Linked DNA regions of Rattus norvegicus. The protein of the gene in region 3 interacts with the protein of the main gene of each other region in a pairwise test. Links are inferred from orthologs where the notes say so. Each region holds a gene or a part of one and is shown on either strand. Other genes may lie near its edges.

The links. The genes of interacting proteins can lie anywhere in the genome.
Region 1: the proteins of L3mbtl2 (region 3) and Stac3 interact in binary tests that used the Homo sapiens proteins (3 or more experiments, as listed by UniProt). The two-hybrid records come from large-scale screens. The link is inferred for Rattus norvegicus from reciprocal best matches to the Homo sapiens genes L3MBTL2 and STAC3.
Region 2: the proteins of L3mbtl2 (region 3) and Tbc1d9b interact in binary tests that used the Homo sapiens proteins (3 or more experiments, as listed by UniProt). The two-hybrid records come from large-scale screens. The link is inferred for Rattus norvegicus from reciprocal best matches to the Homo sapiens genes L3MBTL2 and TBC1D9B.
Region 4: the proteins of L3mbtl2 (region 3) and Phf10 interact in binary tests that used the Homo sapiens proteins (3 or more experiments, as listed by UniProt). The two-hybrid records come from large-scale screens. The link is inferred for Rattus norvegicus from reciprocal best matches to the Homo sapiens genes L3MBTL2 and PHF10.

Annotation. Positions count from the first base shown.
Region 1 is NC_086025.1:65,227,068-65,231,274, reverse strand, and holds the start of Stac3 (SH3 and cysteine-rich domain-containing protein 3), read right to left. Parts: upstream 2,801-4,207; 5' UTR 2,762-2,800; exon of another isoform or gene 2,520-2,761; intron 1,820-2,519; 5' UTR 1,724-1,819; coding exon 1,658-1,723; intron 1,420-1,657; coding exon 1,155-1,419; intron 940-1,154; coding exon 842-939; intron 647-841; coding exon 583-646; intron 1-582. UniProt on the Homo sapiens protein: Required for normal excitation-contraction coupling in skeletal muscle and for normal muscle contraction in response to membrane depolarization. Required for normal Ca(2+) release from the sarcplasmic reticulum, which ultimately leads to muscle contraction.
Region 2 is NC_086028.1:34,959,815-34,963,811, reverse strand, and holds the start of Tbc1d9b (TBC1 domain family member 9B), read right to left. Parts: upstream 2,801-3,997; 5' UTR 2,708-2,800; coding exon 2,590-2,707; intron 1-2,589. UniProt on the Homo sapiens protein: May act as a GTPase-activating protein for Rab family protein(s).
Region 3 is NC_086025.1:115,073,041-115,076,540, forward strand, and holds part of L3mbtl2 (lethal(3)malignant brain tumor-like protein 2), read left to right. Parts: intron 1-2,433; coding exon 2,434-2,551; intron 2,552-3,143; coding exon 3,144-3,278; intron 3,279-3,500. UniProt on the Homo sapiens protein: Putative Polycomb group (PcG) protein. PcG proteins maintain the transcriptionally repressive state of genes, probably via a modification of chromatin, rendering it heritably changed in its expressibility.
Region 4 is NC_086019.1:64,638,868-64,643,164, forward strand, and holds the start of Phf10 (PHD finger protein 10), read right to left. Parts: upstream 2,801-4,297; coding exon 2,717-2,800; intron 947-2,716; coding exon 840-946; intron 1-839. UniProt on the Homo sapiens protein: Involved in transcription activity regulation by chromatin remodeling. Belongs to the neural progenitors-specific chromatin remodeling complex (npBAF complex) and is required for the proliferation of neural progenitors.

The sequences.
Region 1 (4,207 bases), about 50 Mb from region 3:
TCAAGTGACCAGAAGAAACATGGACTTTGAACCAGGCCTGTTACTGTGTTTCCTCCTTTGAGACAGTCTTGCTATGCTGCCCTGGCTACATATGGAAGTCAGAGAGCTCTTCTGCCTTGTGAGTGCTGGACTCAAGGCCCGTACCATCAATGCACCCTCAAGGAATACACTTTTAAGGGATGCTAGATTAGGAACCTGTCTGGCGGTGTGTGTGTGTGTGTGTGTGTGTGTGTGTGTGTGTGTGTGTGTGTGTGTGTATCCGTAGCTCATGAGCTGGTCCCAAATGTGGTGTCACTCTATACAGGGTAGAAACAGTCTAAATCCTTGTCCTTGCTCAGAAATGGTTTACAGGAAGCAGACTAAGGTTCCATCCTTGTCTCTACCTCTGGCCTGCTCACTCGCGTCTCTCTGAGTTATAAACCAAGGGAACTAATCATTGCATCCAGAAGTGACTGTAGAAAGACTAGTCTGAGGGGGAGTTATGGAAAGAGAATGATTGTTTCAGAATTTATTTTCCTAAGGGGTGGTATGGCGCCACCTTGGAGGCCCGCCCCCTCCCTCAGGTCCTAGACTCGCACTTACAGACACAAGCATACTGCTGGTTGCTGTAGAGTGGGGAGCTATAGGCCCGATGGAAACCAGGTGGCTGTTGGACGAGAGGCGGAGAGCATTAGAAGTAGCAAGGCAGGGTTCAGAATCCCACCCACCACAAGTGAGTGCTCAGCCCTTCTTAGAGTAAGAGAAAGCCAATGTATGGGATGGCTTTGGGGGCCAGCAAGAAGTACTTGATGACCTTCACCTTCCCTTCCATGCTCTCACTCCCCAGAGTCTCACTACTCACGATCTTGCCGAAGCATTTCTGCATCTCCACGTAGGACTGACAGTGTTCATGGATGTTGGTTTTGCAGTTCTTACAGCGGAGTCCAAACTTGTTATTGACTTTGAGGAGGAGAACATTTGAGTGAGGTTCTGGAGGCCCCCTTTTCCTTTGTACCCTAGGCTACTTCAGCTCTGATCTGCCTGCCCTTTTCTGCCAACCTCAGTATTTTCATAGGGTGGATCTTGCCACAGTGTGTCTCACACACATTTCTCCTGGGTCTTGTCCTTCCCCCAAGCCTTCCATCCTACTGTCTTTGCTCCCCTTCAAGACTCACGCACAATCATCCGGGCACAGACATCACAGAACTTGGGCTTCTTGAAGAAATGATCTTTGAACTTGTGGGGCTTGTCATTGACAAGCTTAGGAGGTTCTGGGGGTGGTTCTTCCTCTTCCTCCTCCTCTTCTTCTTCCTCATAGATATAGTAGATGGGGCCACCCCCAGCCCCCACGGCTTCTCCATTGGCCTGGGGCTCTGGGGGAGGCTCCATCTCGGTTGTCTCTGGAGAGCCCTTCTTGAATAATTGCTTCAGTCGCTGTAGCTGAGGAAGGGGTGAAGGAAGCCCAACGTTAAGTGAGAGTCACGTTCCATTCCCATTTTCCAATCATGGGAAAGCAGTGTCCCTGGGATTAGGGGACTGGGTGTTGCAGGTGTTGGCTGGCCCAATAATTAATGAGTCGAACACAAGTGGTATCAATCCAAGCAGCTTCCTTCAGATGCTGTGATGGTTCCCAGCCCTTCGGACCCCTCCCCAACTGTGGACACAGGTCTAGACTCACCCCACTTTGCGGAGTCTCTCCTGGAAAGGGGGGCTGAGGGGACTCCACCACCTCCTTTTCTGTCATCCTACAAGAGGTTGGACCCCACTATGAGATCTAATTCTATCCCAGTGTTCCTGCCGCACAGTAGGGTGGCCCTTGAAGGGGAGGGTTTGGGAGAAACTTGACTAAATAGCCATTGGCAGAGCTTCTGAACAGATTCTATGGAGTCCCCCCAAAAATGTCCAACAGAGGAAAGACTTCCCAGCTAGTTCCTTAAACTGACACTTTCCACCTCAAGGGACAGCCCGAGAGTCTACAAATCCAGTATGCTGCTCAAGGCCATTGGCTTCTAGGTTCTCCTACAGCAGCAGTTCTCAACCTTCCTAACTCTGTGGCTCTTCAAAACAGTTCCTTATGTGGTGGTGACCCATAAAATGATCTCATTGCTACTTCACAACTTATAATTTTGCTATGTATTTGTAATGAGTTGTAACGTAAATATCAGACATGCATGACATCTGATATGTGACCCACAGGTTGAGAACGGCTGTCCTACAGATAGTCCTGATTGAAGATATATATCTTCTAATGGATTCAGGAGGTTTAACCTGGTTAACACCATTAACCCATCTGCATGTATGAAGGTGTGTCCTGGGATCTGCCCTCCCCTACCTCTCTCCTGAGCTTTGGGGGCCTTGTGCCTAGTCCTTTCCTGGCCTGCCTTAGGCCTCAGCTATTTTAGGTTTTCAGAGTAAGATGAGCCTTTCTTTCCTTCCCTTACCACTCCATTCCCTGGACCCCACCACACCCTACCCCATCCCCCAATCTTGGCTTTTCCTGAACTAGGACAATTTCACTTCAAAAAACCCAATCTACTTACAGGTGGGGAGAGAGACGAAGAGGCCCAACAGACTCAGGATAGGAGAAATGGAAGGGTAATAAAGAGACGACTTACTTTTGAGACTCCCTAAATCAGTTCGCTGTGGAAAGGGCGTCCCTAAGACCTCGATGGTGCTGCTGGGGAGGGCCAGCCCTCTTTCTTCTGGGTAAGCCCCCCTTCTGCAACCTTCTGGACCCACACCAGCTATGCAGACTGTATTAGTAGGCCTTGGAACCTCTCACCGTGGTGGTAGAGCTGAAGTGACAGAGTTGGAGGACAGTGGACAGCTGAGAGCACAGCTGACAGGCAGAAATTGGAACCAGGAGGTCTGGGGCAGGGCTCGACCCTGACTCCTCCCATCCCCCCAGAGCTGCTCTTCTCTGAGTGTTTACACCCAAGCAGGTCAGTACTGGCTTATCAGGAAGGGGCATTTTCTACCGAACACTGTAGCACCCCACCCCACTCCCAAGTACCAGGAATTGAACCTAGGGTTTTGTCATGCTAATTGTGTGCTGGACCACTAAGCTATACCCACAGCAGGAAAGGAACTTCTGTTCAGGACACAGTTACATGAGGGAACTTTAGATCTGACAATGAAGGCCCCATACTCTCCCCATTAAGGTTCAAATAACCGTTCCAATTCTACTCTCCCTGGGCTCATTTCAGTCATGTTCTTGGATTTTATTTCCTCCCCCCACGTCCCCCCAGACAGCGTCTCTCTGTGTAGCCCTGGCTGTCCTGGAACTTGCTCTGTAGACCAGGCCAGACTTGAACTTGAGATCGGTCTGCCTGTCTTCTGAGTGCTGAGATTAAAGCTATGTGCCACCGTGCCTAGCTAACACTAAAACTGTAGACCAGGGAAAGGTTAGGAGCTGAGAAGAGGGTGTGACTCAGAATTCTGTCAATCACACAAGACTTTTTCAGTTGCAGCTCATCAGAGTATGCAGTACTTTCTGAAGTGCACAGGTATTTTTCTCCCTTTCCCCCTCTAAATCCTGTCCTTAAGATGAAGGGAATGGGGGGCTGGAGAGATGGCTCAGTGGTTAAGAGCACTGACTGCTCTTCTAGAGGTCCTGAGTTCAAATCCCAGCAACCACATGGTGGCTCGCAACCATCTGTAATGAGATCTGATGCTCTCTTCTGGCATGAAGGCTATAGATAGGTAAATTTATAAAAATTTATAAATTTATAAAAAAAAAAGTGAAGAGAATGTATGTTACTGAAAAAGATGGTGGCAAAACCCAAAAGCTATGGCGCTGGAGAGATGGCCCAGCTTCTCGTCCAGTGGACCTGGGTTCAGTTCCCAGTATCCACACAGCAGCTTACAGAGCTCTGCAACTCTAGTTCTGGAGGCCCTACACCTGGTCTCTGTAAGCATCAGGCAGGCACGGTGTGCATAAACACATGTAGGCAAACCTCTTACACACATAAAATAAAAATAAATGAACCTTTTAAAGAAAAGTCAGGTTGGTCTCAGTGGTCCAAGGAGCCGATAAGTATAGTTAAGCCTGGAAAGGTTGCAGCTGCCTGTGTCCTCTCGTCTTGTCTGTCTGTCTGTCTGTCGTGTGTGAGCACAGGTGTGTGTGTGTAGGGCAGAGGATGACTGACTCTTGCAGTCAGTTCTTTCCTGCCAACCCATGGGATCTGGGGACTGGACTCAGGTGGCCAGGCTTACGCAAAACCCCTGC
Region 2 (3,997 bases), on a different chromosome or scaffold from region 3:
TGCCTGATCCACTCCTCTTGATTACTTAAACAGTGACGTAATCGAAAGACCCTGCCTGTTTTTCCTGTTTGAAACGTATTCCTTCCTTTTCGAGGAAGTGCTGCCTCTGGGGAGATCTGGAAATCTGCTGCTGCTGTCTTCTTGGCTTACAAAACCATTTCTCTCTATTATTCACTTTTAATACTCTTTGCTAACCTACCACTTTTCATCTGACACCCCCCCATCTTTAATAAGCGCAGCGAGCAGTTACAGAATAGATTTAAACAATTTCTTGTTTGTTTTACTAAATTGTTAAAAAAAAAAAAAAAGTCCAGTCACTTTACATTGCAGTTAGGAATCTGGAGAGTGGCTCAGCTAATAAAAGGCCCACCATGAAAGCAGGAGGATCGGAGTTCGGATCCCATGTGCCCACAAAACGAGGGGCGTGGCTGCTTGGGCGTGTAACCTGAGTGCAGGATCTCTGGAGTTCACTGACCAACAGCATCTCGAAGCACAAGGTTGGGGAGAGCTGTAGGAGACACTCGTGCCAACGTCTGGCCTCCACATATACAGGCATGGGCTCCTGCATGCACACGGGGCTGGCTGGTCTCTGTGAGTTTAAGACTAGCCTAGTCTATGTAATGAGTTCCAGGCCTGCCAAAGCTAAATAGTGAGACCACAACCACAACAAAAGAAAAAAGGCACGTCCGAGCCTTACTATATGGTTCGCAGTCAACTTCGGAATGTTCACGTTGAGGTTTTCCGCTTGGTCTTGGGAACACTCTTTTAGAGTTTCTGTATAAACTACTGGCTTAGCCATATTGCAGGACCTGAAATCTTTTTAACTTACTGACCCTCTCCTCACACCCACTCTTTAATTAGATGTTCAAGTTAACAAGCTATTATTAATATTAATTATTATCTTAATTGTTTCCTTTTTTTGTTTTTTTTTTTTTTTTTTTAAAGACAGCACAGCATTTCTCTGTGTAACCCTGTCTGTCCTGGAACTCACACTAGACCAGGCTGGCCTCAAACTCAAGAGATCCCCCTGCCTCTGCATGTACCACCATGGCTGACTTATCTCATTCTTAGTAACATGTACGGGTGTTGTGTCTGCATGTTTATCTCTGCACCGTGTTTGTGTCTGGTGCCCATGGATGCCTGAAGAGGGTACTGGATCCTCTATAACCAAAGTTACGGATGGCTGTGGTATTTGAACCTGGCTCCTACAGTCCTTAACCCCTGAGCTGCTTCCTCAGGCCAGGTTGGTCAGTTTTGCAAAGAGGCTTGAAGAAACCTGCATTACTGATGAATCTCTTAGGGATACAGTGCTAAGGAGGTTGTGGACAGCCGTCCTTAACCCCTGAGCTGCTTCCTCAGGCCAGGTTGGTCAGTTTTGCAAAGAGGCTTGAAGAAACCTGCATTACTGATGAATCTCTTAGGGATACAGTGCTAAGGAGGTTGTGGACAAACCTGGCTCACTGGGATTTGGAATTTACAGGACGGCTGGCACAGTAGTCTGGATGCTCAGCCTTGGGGGCGAGGGGTGGGGGGGTTTGGACACAGATGAATGATAAAGCAAAAAGGACTTGTCCCATGACCGTGCCCTATGTTCCTCAGTGGGCTTATGGTAGCTTCCAAGGTTGGTCACTGGGCTGTCCAGGAGGGCCGTTTCCTAACTCACAATAAACATTGGGCCCCAGAGGCAGGCCCAGCACCACCTCCAGTCATCTCTAGGCCCTTTGAGAAGCAGCCTGATTGTGGAAGAGAACATTGAGTTTTCTTGGAATAGGTACAGTCCCTTCCACATTAAGAAGTGTGGCTCATGAGATGCTGGCAGCTGATGTCACCTATGAGAGGCCTCCAACTGCATCTGGCAGGACTGTCGGCTGCCACACTGAAAAATCAGGGCATTCACAGAAAATTCACTTTCTGTATCGAAAGATCTGGCATCCAGAAGGGTCCACGTACTGGAACTGCTGCAGGGCCAGATCTGTGGTACTTGACAGGCCCTGGAGCCTAAGGGGCTTCCAACAAATTCTGTTCAATAGATTCCTACAGTGCCACATGTCACACAAAGTCAGAGGCACCCACTCCAGCTGCTTCTGTGTGAGTGGTAGTGCCCAGATACCTAAGAGGCACCTGAGGTAGTTCAGAGGGACACTTCATAAATGCTGATAAATATGCAAAAACAAGCTTTGGGCTGGGAACTCGGATGGCATCAAGTGAGAAGAAGCCGGAGGAGGAAGGGGAGCAGAGGTCAGGGCATCTTTGGTCTTCACAAAGAGGCAATTCTTCAGTGAACTAGGAGTAAAGGGGGTAAAAGAAAACGTGTGCTTACACCACTTGGTCCTTCAGAGGCAGCTGGGGAAACTGAGGCAGAGGGCGAGCTGGGGGACCCTGCTGGCTTCTGGCTGTTAAGTCACTTTACAGGACGGTGCACACGTCCCGGCGGAGGGCCACTAGTGTCCTTCCCCTGCTGCCCGCCCCAGGACCGTCCTCCTCACCCGCGTTCCGACCCCCCTGTGCCACTGCGCGTGCCCGCGGGTCGCGTCCTGCTGCCCCGCCAGGCCTGCTGCGCACAGGCCCGGCCGCCCGCGCCCCGCTCACCCGTGAGGCCGCCACCCTTGCCATGGCCTCGGCGCCGCTGCAGCACGAAGAAGGGGTTGGCCCGCTCCGTCACCCATAGCGCGTTGGCCACCAGCACCTCCTCCGGGCCGAGCCACATCCCGCGGCAGCTCACACCGGGCCAGAGCCCGTGAGGCGGAAGCGCGCGCCGCGGTCGCTGCGCCCGAGTCTAGCCGAGCTGAGCCGAGAGGCCGGGGCGGGGTCGAGACGCCGGCCCGATGGTGGCTCCCCCTAGCGGCCGCACAGGCTCACAACGCCGCCCTCCTCGACCTCTCCTGGCCTGGCAGTCCTGTCCAGCCTCGCCACCGCTTTCCAGAGTGTAGGGGATCACATGCTCTCCGCCTACTGTGCAGCCCAGGAGAGTTAATGTTACAAAAAGCGTCGGGAGAAGGGTTAGCAGCTCCTGGTCAGTCTCGGAATTTTGACTCAAGTCTAAGGTTGGAAACCTTAAGAGCCCAGTTGTCAGGAAGGGCAGCTGGTGTCCTTTGAAATAAGTATACTCACACCTACTGACAGATGGACTGGGGTGGGGTGGCCTTGAGGCTGGGGTCACAGATGAGCCTTCCCCCGCCCTCATTTTTTTTTTTTTTTTTGCATTAGCCGACAGCAGTATGAGCTGGAAGTGCAGTGCACTGCTCTTACCTCTCCTGGCCTGAAGGCGGCAGTCTCTGACAGTAAAAATTCATCTTCAGCTCCCAGCCCAGGGCTTCTGCCACGGAACCATGAAGCAAAATTAGCCACTGCTGGCTCTGTGAACTAGAGCCCGGTGAAGCAATTAGGAACACGACAGTTTCTGGTTCAAAGGCGCAATGGACTCCGCCCGGACAACAGGTGTGAACCATATTTATTTTGGTAAAAGCAAGGGAGACAGCTGTATGTCCCATGTCACCTGGATAGGGCAGAAGGGTGAAAGGAAGGAGAGGTAGATCATTCTGGGAGGATTTGGAGAGCTAGTTGGAGGGTTTTTGAAACAGAGTCTCTAATATTTCTGTATTGCAGGCCAGTCTCAAACTTTCTGGATGATCTGAGACTCTTTGATTCCCCTTCCTCAACCATCCCCATTGCTAGGTGGTGGTACTCGGGATGTAACTGAGAACTTCAACATTCTAGGCAAGCACTCTGGGCTGCATCCACAGACCCTTGAGTTGGGTTCTGTTACTGGCATTCGAGGGTGTGGCAGATGTAATGGGTGACAGCCAGAGTGAAGTACAACTTTTTTTTTTTTTTTTTTTTTTCCGGAGCTGAGGACCGAACCCAGGGCCTTGCAGGCCTTGCACTTACTACCACTGAGCTAAATCCCCAAATCCTCCCCCCCTTTTTAAGGTTTATTTATTATATATAAGTACACCGTAGCCAGAAGAGGTCATCAGATCTTATTACAGATGGTTGT
Region 3 (3,500 bases):
TAGTCTGGTCTGCAGAGTCCCTAGATCTGAAATTGCCCCTGGTTTTTGAAGGGCTGATTTACACAGTAGAGTTTTGGGTGATTTGAAATCAAGGGTGTTCTTTTTTTTCATTCTCCATGTTTTGTTCCCACATTAAAATTGTCTTCTTTTGTTGTTGGTGATGGTGGTGTGGATGGTGCACACTTTATTCCTAACACTCAGAAGGCAGGGGCAGGTGAATCTGTAAGTTTGAGGCCAGCCTGGTCTACAGAGAGAGTTCCAGGACTGTCAGGGCTACACAGAGAAAATCTGTGTACAAAAGGAATAAAAAAATTGTTTTTGTTTTATTTGTGGGATATTTGTTGTATGTTTTATTTCATTTTTTAAAAAAAATTTTTGTTGGGGATTTAACTCAGCGGTAGAGCGCTTGCCTAGCAAGTGCAAGGCCCTGGATTCGGTCCCCAGCTCCAAAAAAAAGAAAAAAGAAAAAAAAAGAAAAAGATTTATTTATTTTATTATATATGAGTATACTGTTGCTGTCCTCATACACACCAGAAGAGGGCATCAGATCTCATTACAGATGGTTGTGAGCCACCATGTGGTGCTGGGAATTGAACTCAGGACCTTTGGAAGAACAGGCAGTGCTCTAACCACTGAGCCGTCTCTCCAGCCCCTGGCTCCACATTCTTTAGAGGTGGAGGACTGTGATGGCTGTGAGCTGCTGCTGTGTGGGTGCTGGGAACTGAACCCTGGTCCTCTGCAAGAGCAGCAGTGCTCTTAATCCCTGATCCTCTTCAGCCCTGCTTTTGGTTTTGAGGAGTTGGTTTTTGTTGTTTTAATTTTGGTGTTTTGTTTGTTTGTTTGTTTGTTTGTTTTGGCTTTTGGTTTTCGGCTTTTGAAGACAAGACTTCTCTGTGTATCCCTAGGTGTCCTGGAACTCACAGAGATCTGCCTGCCTCTGCCTCCACTACACCTGGACTGATGTTTTGGTTTCACGTATCCCAGGCTGGCTTTTAACTTACTATGTAGCTGAGGATAGCCTTGTACCCCGTGCCTCAACCTCCCAAGTGTGTGTCAACACGCCCATCCTTCTACTGGTTAACTCTCAGGTCCCAGTTCACCTTTGCTGGCACTAGGGATTACTTGCAATTTGACTATGAAGCTGCACTCTCAGCCCTTGTCTAAGGCCCTTTCTGAAGCCAGACACACTCCAGTGGGGGCTCCTCGTTCTCCCTGACAAGTGAAGGGTTGAGGCCTTGTTTGTATCTTTGGATGAGCTTGAAGTCAAGAACTGAACAGTGCCCAGCAGCTGTACCTTGTGCTAGCCTAGAACATCTACAGCAGGGCTGCTTTTGTCTATAACTTTTTTTAATTTAAGACAGGGTCTTATAGCTCAGGCTGGCCTAGAACTCACTATAAATACCAGGCTGGCCTGAAAGCAGTCCTCTGCCTCAGTCTCCCAAGTACTGGCACACAGATGTCAGACACCAAGCCCAGTTTCTTTTTCCTTTCAATCCCATTTCCAAAAGCCTGGCAGAAGGCCTCCTGAGACTGTCTTTTGACCTCAGTAAGCCATGCTTGGCCTTCCTGGATTGTCCTGCTTGTCCTGTGCTATGACAAGTTGTTCCTAGGTCCTACTGTGTCCTTCCTCTGAGTTGCTTATTGTAGGGAATTAAATCATATTTAACACAGATTCATATGCTCTGTACAGAGCTTGCCCTGTGTGTCTGGGCCACTCCATGTTTCCTCAGGTCTATGTGAACCTGTCTACCTAGGGATATGGATGGTTTCTGGTTCAAGTCAGGTCTGAGTGTGGAAAGTGATGCTTTTACTAAAGGAGTTTCAAGTTCCTGTTGGCAGCAAATCAAGGATTAAGCATTGGGAAGGAAGCCAGAAGCCACCCAGAAGGAAGGGACTGGGTCGAGCGTGGATGTTGTTCTGCCAGCCCTGTGTTTGAGCCCAGGTTGAATGATGTTAGGGAGGAAATGTCTGTACTAAGACACTTGTACACCAAAATGTCTACTCTGGGGCTGGAGAGATGACTCAGTGGTTAAGAGCACTGACTGCTCTTCCAGAGGTCCTGAGTTCAAATCCCAGCAACCACACGTGGCTCACAACCATCTGTAATGAGATCTGATGCCCTCTTCTGGTGTGTCTGAAGACAGCTACAGTGTACTCACGTTCATGAAATAAATAAGTAAATCTTTAAAAAAAGAAAAAGGTCAGGAGCTGGCCCTGCAGTGATGAGAACCAGGTCTGTGTCAGGCCCTCCCGGGGCTCTGCCTGGTGGTTAGCTCCCCGACTTCCATGCTTCTGGACAGTGGGCACGCCCTGTTCTTCTCTTCAGTCGTCGTTTTCTGCACTGTGCATGATGTGAAGTGAGGGTGCAGAGGATAAGAGGGCTCAGGGTGAGGAACTAGCTCCTCAGCCATCAATGCTGTCATCGCCACACAGGTACCCCTCTATGACCAGTGGGAGGACGTCATGAAGGGGATGAAGGTAGAAGTCCTCAACAGCGACGCCGTGCTCCCCAGCCGGGTGTACTGGATCGCCACTGTCATCCAGGCAGCTGGTGGGTGTTCCTCTGGCCAGAGCAGGTCTGGAGTTTGTCTGCCATGTGTCATATCTAGTGGGTGGATGGTGTTACAGGGTGAATGGGTTTCATAAATCAAAACTTCAGCCACTAGCTTTCTTTCCTCTTCTTGGAGATTCTCCTCCTTTACATGAGAGGACTAAAACTTGAAAGTTGATTTTGTTTTGTTATGTGTTTGTATGTGTAGTTGGCTGTTTTTGCTTTTTTGAGACAGGGTTTCTCTGTGTAGATGTGACTGTCCTGGAACTCACTCTGTAAACCAGGCTGGCTTCAAAATTAGAAATCTGCCTGCCTCTGCTACCTCCTGAGTGCTGGGATTAAAGGCATGCCCCACCTCCACCATCTCCTTTTCTCTTTAATAAGGTTCATTCTGGGGATGAGGCGGGTATAGAAATCACCAGCCCAGAATGCTAAGAGTACAGCACGGTGTTTTGTTCTGCGTGTCGGGGACCCCACTACCCCAGAAGGAGTTCCTGGAGTAGGAAATGGGGAGCCTGGCTGGTGCTAGAGAAGAAGGCCTGAGAACGTGCCTCTCACGCCACCTTCAGAGGTCCCCTGTCCTTCCTTTCAGGGTACCGGGTACTGCTCCGATATGAAGGCTTTGAGAATGACGCCAGTCATGACTTCTGGTGCAACCTGGGGACTGTGGACGTCCACCCCATTGGGTGGTGTGCCATCAACAGCAAGATCCTGGTGCCTCCACGGAGTGAGTCAGTGAGAAAGCTCCCATGCTGCTTCCTGTAGGGCTCTGGGCAGAAGCCTTCCCTACCCAGTCTCGAAGTTTGGATTTATAGTGCCTGTTTGTTGGTCTTGTTTATATATATAAACTTTCTATATATATTTACTTTATGTGTATGTGTGTGCCTGAGTGAATGTCTGTTCACCATGTGTGAACCATGTGTGCAAGAGCCTGAGGTCAGAAGGTGTT
Region 4 (4,297 bases), on a different chromosome or scaffold from region 3:
ATGGTGGTACCACTGGAAATGTATGGAAGGTCCTTATAAAAGCTGAACACAGAATTACCATATGGTACAGCTTTCCACTTCTAGCTATATACCAGGGTACTAAGAGCAAGGGTTCTGAACGCCAGTGTTCACTTCAGCATTAATTACCCCAGCCTGCAGGCATACACAGGAATAAGCAAAATGTAGCAGCACATACAGTGGAATATCGTTCAGACTTCAGGACCTCCAACACAGATGAACCTTGAAGATAATATGGTTAGGGATAGGCACTGTATGGTTCACAGTCAGGGGCAGGAAGGAGAACTTAGTTGGTAACCAACCAGCAGCAGGGGGCAGGAAGGAACAGGAGGTACTGGGGGGTTCTGCAGTTTCACTACTGAAGTTTTGAAAAGGGGTGAGAGTGATGGTTGCACAATATTGTAAATGTAATTAATGCCACTGAACTATACTTCTTATATATAAAAAGTGTTACGATGGCTGTATTTTATGTACCTATTTTATCGTTTGTTTTTTTTAATAGTTCTCAGGAGCAAGACCAACTTCGATATTATATTATATGACTCTTTTTTAAAGATTTGTTTGTTTGCTTGCTTTGTGTATATGTGTACAAACATCTGTGGAGGACAGAATGGAACATCAGCGCCTCTGGAGCTTACAGGAGACTGGGGGAGGTGGGTGCTGGTAACCAATCTCCAGTTAGACAAGCATTCTTAACTTCTGAGCCATCTCTCCAGCCCATACATATAATTTTTAATAACTTTTCATGCTGCCTGGGATAGGAAAGAAGAAGTGAGCAAACAGTTTACAGAAGTCACTACTGAGCCTTAAAGCAGCAGTACCTAAGATCTTGACTTGAAGTCTCGCAACTTCTTGAACTATCCCCTGAACCCATTCGTCTTCTTTTAGATGGATGACCCCCATCATTTGAGTTATCTTCATTATCATCCTGTACATTAAAAAAATGGAAAATGTTAAAATGAATTAAAAACAAAGAGTGATTCTGTATCATTCCAGTCTGCCTAAATATCAACAAGAGAAAGCACATTTCTACCTAGTGTCCTTAGAAAACTTAATTTTAGAATAATTAAAAGGACAGAGAATTTGTTATAAGAAATGGAATAAATCTAAAAACTGACCTTCAATCTAAACAAAATTGATTTTCAACTATATTTTAAATGTACTCTGCTTTCATTTTCTTACCAACTAGGTTGTGTTCAAATGTCTTCTGCTTTTTAATAGCAAAACCACTTTAAAATCAAAGTAAGCCTTCCTATTTGAGCTGGGAAATAAATACTAACAAATTTTGTAGCACACTTCCATTTACAACTGGCCTACCAGATCACATTCTAATTAGCTACTTTGCAGATGAAGGACTGGACACAGGTTACCAAGTCTAACTACATTCTTTTTCTTCTATAGCAGAAATTCAGCACATTGTGATAAGCTCATAGAAGATATAAGTTGTTGAGCCATTCCATTAAGGAAAGAAGTAGTCAAATGTTTTTAAAATAATTCATTTACATATTGCTCATGGCTTCAGCTCATAGTTCTTTAAATCAAGGTACTATAGCTCTTAACACTACTAATCTTACTATATATTTCAATAAGGACCCGCGAAAGAAAATAAAAAGGAAGCACAGGCCAGCACGTCAGGTCAGCATGCCACTGTGGGCTGCCTGGAGTCGTATGGAGCAGCTGTCCACCAGCTGTGTGGTAACCTGCCAGCTTCTCCCTGTCTGAAAGCCTAGGTGGCTGATGCAAGGATTCAGTGAAGTGATACATGAGCACATGAAGAGCAAGGGCTAGTGCATAACTGATATATGTTAACGTTGAGGTTAGCAGTGATTTTACATTTCACTATGTCTCTAGCACCTAGGAATTTACTAAAATTATTTTTCAAATTAAAAAAAAAGAAACCATTCTCCTTTTCACTCATCAAAAATGAAGTCAAGTAAACAAACTTAATATTCCTTTTTAAAACTAAAAAACAAGTTGAAAGATAATATTTAATATTTAATTTTTCACAGTACTCATATTCCATACTTGCTTGACAAGGTTCATTTTAAGCTCTGAAGCATTTTAAGCGCTATTTTACTAATTTGTGAATATTTTAAAGATTTCTGTTTAAAAACGCTTTTAGTTAAAAACAATGATCCATTCGAAAAGAAACAATAATGGAAGTTGACACAGAGTTTAACAGCTCACAACCGTATGAATTCTAAGGGCTACGTTCCAGGTAAGGCCCTCTTCTCTGCAAGGTCCTCAGTCGGGGCCAGGAGCCAGCAGCCCCCGGGCGCTGCTCTGACTCGGGCCCGGCCACAGTGAGGTTCACAGGGGAGCAGACAGAGGCCCCGCGGGGAGGGACGGGCACGTGGACGGGTCACTTCGGCTGGCCGAGTCTGTGGGTGTGAACCCACGTTCTGCCAACTCGGGACCACGAGCGCACGCCCCGCTCAGCGTCTCCTGGACTTGAGATCCCAAAAGGCCGCAACTTTTCTGACTTCCCCAGGCTGCGGGCGCTCCGTCTCAACCACTCTTCGCGAGTCTTCCGGTCCCTACTACTCCCCGACAACTTCCCACCCGCCGCGCAGGTCTCCCTGAGGTCCGCGCCCACCGTTCGCCGCACTTGTTGCTTGGGGACCCGCCGTCCTGTCCCCACTGCGCTCCCGAACCCGGCCCGGGCCGCTGCAGCCGTTGGGCAGCGCGCTCCGCTCACCTTCGGGGACTGCGCTCCGGGGGAGGCCGGGTCGCTGTCGCACCGCCGCGGGGACAGCGCCGCCCCGGGCCCGGCCGCTGCCATCAGCCCCAGCGCCCCGCGCCTCCGTCGTCGTCGCCGCCGTCGCCTAGTCCCAGCCGCCGCCGCCGCCGCTGCCGCCGCTGTCGCGCGGGCCGCCCGGCGCCCCGGCCCCGCCCCCTCCGCCCGCCCGCCCGGGGGCCGGCCCCTGCCGCCGCGCGCCCCGCGGCCCGCCAGCGCCACCGCCATGGCCGCCAGCGCGCCGCCGGCCGGGACCCGCACGCCGCTCACGTCAGCCGGCTGCAGCTGCGCGGCTCTACGGGCCTGGGCCGGGGCCCGCCGCCTTGCCGCCTTCACCCGGCCCGCCGCGCCCGGCCTGAGCTCCGCTGGCCAGCTGCCGCCTTGGCCCGGGCCCCGGCCCGACCCGGGTTCCTGGCCGCCTGGCGAGCTCGCCGCCGCCCCTTCCCTGCGCCCCCAGCCCGGCCCTTCGCGTCAGCCGCGGCTCCGCGCCGCCCCGCCCCGCCGCGGTCCCGCCCCCTCCCCTCCTCCGCCGCGCGTCAGCCGGGGGTCCTCAGTCGGCGGCGGCTGCCTAGTCCCCACCTGGGTCGCCAGCTCCTCCCGTGAAAGATGGGTCCCTACCACGCGTGTCCTCCAACCCCCACCCCTACACACACACACACACACCGGTGCCCAGCTCCTCCCCTCAGCCAGGGGTCTCCACCACGCTGTCTCTTCCCGCCCCCACCCCGAATCAAGGGTCCCCGCTACGTGGTATCCTCCCACCACCGGTCCCAGCCCCTCCCCTCAGCCTGGGGTCCCCACACCCGCGGCCACCTTCCCCTTCTCCACCAGTGTCTGCGCTCCCTTCTGTAACTGAAGGATTTGAGTCCTCAGTCTACTTCCTCCTCTCTCCTCAGCCCTGAGGGTCAACCACCCCAGGAGCTCCGCCTCCTCTCTCCTTGAGATCCCCTCTCCTGTAGTGCCTTTTCCCCACCCCGCCATCTTCACTCCGCACACCTCTGGGTCCCCAAGGCGCCCTTGGCTCCTTTGTTCTACATTTGCCACTCCCGAAACCTAGGTGTAGTGGCCACGAGAAAAGTCAGAGCAGCACTCTGGCTGAACAGGACCCAATCAGGCAAGAACATAGAGAAGGTCCCCCAAACCATATGACAGTGTCAGAAAACATAATCACCTGCAGGACACAGGATTGGGAATCCCTGGGAAATGAAAGCCAGTGTGCTTGGATTTATATTGATCCTAGTTCTTAGACTTCGCCTTTTGAAAGGCCGGACCCCACCCTTTGAAAGGAGCACCAGGAAGACAACAGGTCCAATAGACAAAGGCAAGGGACAGAGAAGCACCCCTATGCTCCCCAGCCCCCATCCACAACACTCCCCACAACTCTTCCAAGAATGTACAGGACCAGATCAGAAAAGATGATCTAGCTCTTGGATTTCAGAATTTGAGTTCCCTTTCATGGCCAGGACTTCTAGCTCCTGACAATAAACCCAGCATTTTCTCCTCACATGAAATATAGTGTGTCCACATGAAAGATAGAGCTGT